Oryctolagus cuniculus: one gene and its partner. The protein of the gene in region 1 purifies or fractionates together with the protein of each later gene. This does not show direct contact. Links are inferred from orthologs where the notes say so. Each region holds a gene or a part of one and is shown on either strand. Other genes may lie near its edges.

Region 1 (3,249 bases):
AGTGAGACAGTGGATATGGGCAGTGAGACGGTGGACGTGGGCAGTGAGACTGTGGACATGGCAGTGAGACAGTGGATATGGGCAGTGAGACTGTGGACGTGGGCAGTGAGACGGTGGACATGGGCAGTGAGACAGTGGATGTAGGCAGTGAGACGGTGGATGTGGGCGGTGAGACGGTGGACGTGGGCAGTGAGACTGTGGACGTGGGCAGTGAGACGGTGGACGTGGGCAGTGAGACAGTGGACGTGGGCAGTGAGACGGTGGATGTGGGCGGTGAGACGGTGGACGTGGGCAGTGAGACGGTGGATGTGGGCAGTGAGACGGTGGATGTGGGCGGTGAGACGGTGGACGTGGGCAGTGAGACAATGGACATGGGCAGTGAGACTGTGGACGTGGCAGTGAGACAGTGGATATGGGCAGTGAGACTGTGGACGTGGGCAGTGAGAGTGCACGTGGGCAGTGAGACAGTGGATGTGGGCAGTGAGACTGTGCACGTGGGCAGTGAGACCGTGGACATGGAAGTGAGACAGTGGACGTGGGCAGTGAGACGGTGGACGTGGAAGTGAGACGGTGGACGCCTGCTCCCTTCACTAAGTGTCTGTGCTTTTTCTCTGACAGCTCAGCGGAGATGGTGCCCCAGGGAGTTCTGGGCCGGGGAGGCAGGGTCAGGGTTGATACTCAGAATCATGGCGGGCACACTTTGCTTTTCCATTCTTAAAAATTTCATTCACTTATTTATTTATTTAAATACCTCATTTTTATTTAGTCTCAGCCAACTTTGGTGTGTGCTGTTTGTGACAGCAGAAACTTGGGAACAACCTCGACTGGCCGTCCGGGGCTGGTGGGGCTGCACTCCTGGCCATCAGTCCCGTCCCGTCTCGGGAGCTCGGCCACGCGCTGGTGCCTGTCGGCAAAGGAGGCGGTTGATGACCTGCTGCTCCACAGGCGGTGAAAATGGCGAGAGCTCTTGTTTTGTTTTTTAGGTGAAATTCATGTAAAAGACATTAAAATGTTTGTTTATTTTATTTGAAGACAGGGAGAGAGCTGTTTCCCTCCACTGGTTCACACACCAAATGCCCACAAGAGCCAGGGCTGGGCTTGGCTGAAGCCGGGAGACAGGAGCTCTTCCTGGGTCTCCCTTGTGGGTGCAGGGGCCCAGGTACCTGAGCCGGGCACCAGCAGGGAGCTGGCACTGGAGGTGGCGTCAGGACTTGAAGCAGGCGTTCCTGTGTGGGCATCTCCACTGCTCCCTTTTAAATTGTGGTTTTTTTCATTGTTGAACTTGTAAGAATTCTCTACGCCCACAGAGACCCTTATCAGACACATGTGCAAACATTCTGAGTTCACTTCGAAAGGCAGCAAAATACACTTGGTCTTTCATTGAGAAACAACCTGACCAGAGGCCACGTCCTGAGCCCACGGAGGTCTCCGTGGGGGGGGGGGGGCTGGGACTGTTGGCGTCCTATGTAGTTCTGGAAGTGACCGCCGTGACGTTTCCTGGCCTCATCAATTTTGCAATCTGGCAAATGGAAACCGAAAGTCTCCAGTCCCCAGCCCACGTCCCTGTGAGCGCTGAGTGTCCTGCTGAGGACTCCGGGTGCTGGTGCTGGGCATTGCTGGGCACGGCTAGGCAGGCTGCCGGGGCACTGTGGGGGCCCCTTGCCGTGCCCCCACCCCTGGAGCTGTGCCAGCTCACATCGTCTTTCTGTTTTGTTTCTCCTACTCCCTCTGGGGCTCGCCCTGGGAAAAGGAAACCAAAACCAAAGCCTGCTTGGCCCCGGCACCAGCTGGGCGGCAGCACCGCCCCCTGACGTCCGCAGCCGAGGCCCATAAATGGGCTGAGGCTGGCCGGGAACGCGCTAGAGGCTGAGGGGCAGCGGCATTGCCAGGGACTGAGCAGCACCCAGAAGCAGCCACGGCCATGGTAAGCCGGGACGCGCGGTGTCGGGGGGCGCGTGGTCCGGCCGGTTTTCCTCCCCCTCGTCTGTCTGGTGGGGTTTCCCAGGGTGGGGACAGGAGGGGCGCATCGGCGGACGCAGGGGGCTGCACCTGCGGCTGGCGCCTGGTGTGCGGACCCAGGCCTGGCGCCGGTCTCTGAGCCCTGGTGATGCCCACAGGGGAAGGACCTGAAGGTGAAGATGCTGGGCAGCAAAGAGATCTCAGTGCCCCTGAGCGAGTCCCTGACGGCGTCGGAGCTGAAGCGGCGGATCGCCCAGGAGACTGGCGTGCCGGCCTTCCAGCAGCTCCTGGCTGTGCACCCCGGGGGGGCGGCGCTGCTGGAGGAGGTCCCCCTGGTCGCCCAGGGCCTGGGGCCGGGAAGCACGGTGCTGCTGCTGGTGCAGAAGTGTGACAACCCGCTGAGCATCCTGGTGCGCAATGACAGGGGCCGCAGCAGCGCCTACGAGGTGCTGCTCACCCAGACGGTGGCCCAGCTCAAGCTGCAGGTGGCCCAGCGGGAGGGCCTGCAGCCGGACCTGTTCTGGCTGAGCTTCGAGAACAGGCCCATGGAGGACCAGCACCTGCTGGGGGAGTACGGCCTCCAGCCGCAGTGCACCGTGTACCTGAACCTCCGCCTGCGGGGCGGATCTGCCGGGACCCGGCCCTGCTAATAAACAGAAGTAGCTGCCTCCCGGGTCCCCTCTCTGCCCATCACCCCTCCTGTGTCCCCAATTCTGCAGCCCTGTGGGGGCGGTCTGGTTGCCAAGTTATGGGACAAGGGCTTCATGGTAGGGTCATGACAGGGACAGCCTCACATAGGAAAGTCACGTGTGCCAGAGCTGACCTGGCCAGGCTGAGCCAGGCAGCCCCTCACTGCTCACCCCACAAGCTCCGGGGGTGGGGGGGCGGGAGCAGGGCGGCAGCTCTGCTCAGGGCCCATTGGCCACAGGGCAGGCCCCACCCCCAGAGTCCCTGGAACCAGTGAGGTGGGGAGAGGTCCACACCCCATGGGGCAGGGGGCCAGGAACCTTCTGGACTGCCCAGTCCTGCCTGCCTTGGTCCTGGGAGGTGTAGGGCGGGGCCTGAGCACTCACCATCAGGGTTCACATCACCCCCTCAGGAGAGTGTGGACAGTGCATGAGGGCACCTGGATCTGGGACTCACCTGCCCTGATGGGGCTTGGGGGTGGGCGGCAGCTAATTAGGCAGAAGCCACAGGGGACGCTCCCGGCGCCCTCCCTCCCCAGGGGGAATGCCCGGGGATGGCGCAGGACACAGCCGAAGCAGGCAGGCCCCGAGATCCAGGGACCAC
Region 2 (3,652 bases), on another chromosome or scaffold:
AAAAAAAGGTCATGGAAAATGAAATTTAAGATGAGCTTAATTTGGTGAAATACACTTTTAAATTCATGCATGGGGGTATTAAAAATTCATGGAATACATGGAGGGAGGAAGATATGAGGAGAAGTATTATATTCTTAGAATGGTATCTATGAACCACATGGAATTTTTTTCATTGCTTTAATAAAAATAAGTACATAAAAACTATGCTATGAAAAACCAATGCATGAATTTGAAAACAGCAGCCCTGCAACACAGCATTGGTTTACCAACATGAAAAATAGAAGAAAGACTTGGCAAATGAATATTGCCATTGGTCAAACAGTCATTAAGTATTACTGGATCTGTCCGATATGTAGTATTGCCAAATAAGAAGCCTCATTCCTGATTAAGTGGAGCTGATAGCCATTATGATTTATTTTTCTGAAACTCACTTCTTTGAAGAGCTGGAGGCAAACCTGGGATCAAAAAGCCACTGTCTGGATTGGCCATTTGCCTCATGCACATCAGCCGATTACACAGTTACTTAGATTCCTTGACCATCAAACTCATATATAGAAGTAAGTTTTTTTTTTAAGATTTATTTATTTATTTGAAAGTCAGAGTTACACAGAGGGAGAAGGAGAGGGAGAGGGAAAAGGAGAGGAGGAGGAGGAGGAGGAGGAGGAGAGAGAGAGAGGTCTTCCATCTGCTGGTTCACTCCCCAGTTGGCCGCAATGGCTGGAGCTGAACCGATCTGAAGCCAAGAGCCAGTAGCTTCTTCCGGGTCTTCCACATGGGTGCAGGGTCCCAAGGACTTGGGTCATCTTCTGCTGCTTTCCCAGGCCATAGCAGAGAGCTGGATAGGAACTGGAGCAGCTGGGTCTCAAACCGGTACCCATATAGGATGCCGGCACTGCAGGTGGTGGCTTTACCCACTATACCACAATGCCGGCCCCTGGGTCTCATGTTGATGGGGGTAGGTGTACCTGTTATTTCTCTAATTTGAACAGTCTGGACATTGTCTCTTTTTCCGCTGAAAAATTGAAGTTCAAGTTCACTAGGTTTGGCAGATGCTCTTCAGTAAAGCCACCTTCATTCAGTTAGTGTTTGACCTGATGATCCCATGTCTACTTAGAAAATTGGCAGTTTCTTAAGTATGCCAGTGATAGCTTTCCTGTATTCTAGTAGTTCTTAGTGTAATGTGACACCTAATTTATCACACAACTGAAGAAAAAAATCTACCATACTATTGAAAAGCAATGGTTATGCTTGACTGTTATTGAAGGTTTTGTATAAAAGAGAAGGAAGAATAAAAAAAATTTGTTTTGAAAAATTGAGAAATTTATGGAAGAGCTCAAGAAGAGTAGATTCCAGTGAGCTTTTGCCACTTTGAGAGTTGGGAGAAATGCTGATGCAGCCACAAAGAGCTCTTCAGGGGATCCTGCTCTGTCCTTTGACCCTAACAGAATATTTGATATTTATCAAAGCCCATACCTCAGAAGGGGGCCACAAGAGAACATGAGGACGAAGCACCCACTGCACTCACCATTTCGTGATTTTGGGGACTCTGAGCCTAATGGCAGTGCAAGGCCAGGGTCAGCAGGACCCTTGCCACAGGGGTGAAACAGCCTCACCATAATTGGTAGTTCCACTGGAAGGCAGGGATCATTTGGAGTTGCAGAGCCACTGGGAATATCACAAACTGTTGGTCTTATTGTACACAGGGAAGAAAAGTTTATAGAAAACCTTCTGAGAATTAGAATGGCAGGCAGGTGTATCCATATCCAGCTCAAATCCTGGTAGTCACTTGATGTCCCAAGTCTAGTTTCATGAATACTCAGGACCTTTACTGACTGATGCCAGGGTATTCATGTGTCACAGCAAATCCATCCATCTCATGAGACGGAGGGCTGAAAAGCTCCCACAGTTCATTGAAGGAATGTTCCGTGAGTAACTAAGCAGAGAGGACGTCTATAAGTGGTAGTTTGTTAAGCTCTGAAGAACAAACCATAAAGAATTAGGCCCTATGGAAAGCCAAGACACTGTGGCAAAAAAAATGACCTAAATCAAAGATCTCTGTGAGTGAGATCCCAGTGGAAAAAACGGGCCATCAAAGAAGGAGGTACCTTTCTCTGAAGGGAGGAAATTTCTTCCACTATGATTATGGTCTTGTATAAATAAGGTCGGAGTTTGTGAACTCGAGGCTTCCATAGCCTTGGCAGCTCATGACAAGAGCCTCGGGTGATTACTGACATTATAAATAAGAGTGTCAATTATGGCCAGCGCCACGGCTCGCTAGGCTAATCCTTCACCTGTGGCGCCGGCACCCCTGGTTCTAGTCCCGGTTGGGGCGCTGGATTCTGTCCCAGTTACTCCTCTTCCAGTCCAGCTTTCTGCTGTGGCCTGGGAAGGTAGTGGAGGATGGCCCAAGTGCTTGGGCCCTGCACCCGCATGGGAGACCAGGAGGAAGCACCTGGCTCCTGGCTTTGGATCAGCGCAGTGCTCCAGCCGTAGTGGCCATTTGTGGGGTGAACTAATGGAAGGAAGACCTTTCTCTCTGTCTCTCTCTCTCTGTCTCTCGCTTTGTCTCTCTCTCTCTCTCACTGTCTAACTCTGCCTGGAAAAAAAAAAAAAGAGTGTCAATTGTTAAATTAACAACAGGAGTCACTGTGCACTTACTCCCCATGTAGGATCTCTCTCCTTAGTGTGTTGTACTTTGTGAATTAACGGTAAAACTAGTATTCAATACTTTATATTTTGTGTGTCTGTGTGGGTGCAATCTGTTGAAATCTTTACTTAGTAAATACTAAGTTGATCTTCTATATATAAAGATAATTAAAAATGAATATTAATGAAGAATGGGATGGGAGAGGAAGTAGGGGATGGGATGGTTTGCGGGTGGGAGGGAGGTTATGGGGGGAAAAGCCACTATAATCCAAAAGTTGTACTTTCAAAATTTATATTTAATAAATAAAAGTAAAAAAAAAAGAATTAGGCCCTGAGGTACTTTGGATTCATATTATGTTGATTTTTGTCCCTTGGACTTAAAATTCTCTGAAGTTTTCATATGAATTGAGAGTATCTAGAAGTTTATCATTTTATCATTAGTCTCCCTTATTGAATCTTAGGTATTCTTTAATATCCATGGAAATTTGGGGTTTTGGCAGTGGAGGAGGTGTTGAACAGAATTTTATTCTGGTCACTAAAAGTGTTTAATTTACTGTTTTCCTCTGATAACCTAATATTCTTTGAGAAAAATTGTCATTAAATATGAAACTTTCTCATAAGTCACATTTTATTTCAGGTAAATCAGACTAAGTGTCTTGTGCCTGAAGAAGTGTTCGTAGTGGATGAACTCTTAGACTGGCTCAACTTTTATGGAGAAGCATACGGAAGGTGCTCTGGGAAAACGAACTTGGTAAGCATTGCATTTACAGGGGGATATTGATAATCCAGAAGTTAAAATGGGCCTTTCTGCTGTAACTTTCAACATGAGTTTCTTAAAATCCTTGCATTCTGCAGAATTACACAATAGAGGCCATAGGGCATAAGGGAAAAGCAAGAATCCTCAAAACCTGTGTGATTTTATAGCCAGAGTCCTGGCAGAAAAGTGTCTGATACCCAGGGATCGACCAGGCAGTCAGCTCATAGCGCTACGAGCATGTGAAAATGC

Evidence for each region.
Region 2: the proteins of ISG15 (region 1) and HERC5 purify together in Homo sapiens (affinity purification with western blotting; 3 studies listed by BioGRID, with this or other methods). This does not show direct contact. The link is inferred for Oryctolagus cuniculus from reciprocal best matches to the Homo sapiens genes ISG15 and HERC5.

The regions. Positions count from the first base shown.
Region 1 is NC_091438.1:164,356,536-164,359,784, reverse strand, and holds ISG15 (ubiquitin-like protein ISG15), read left to right. Parts: upstream 1-1,269; 5' UTR 1,270-1,921; coding exon 1,922-1,924; intron 1,925-2,117; coding exon 2,118-2,609; 3' UTR 2,610-2,627; downstream 2,628-3,249.
Region 2 is NC_091439.1:77,182,857-77,186,508, reverse strand, and holds part of HERC5 (E3 ISG15--protein ligase HERC5), read left to right. Parts: intron 1-3,283; coding exon 3,284-3,397; intron 3,398-3,652.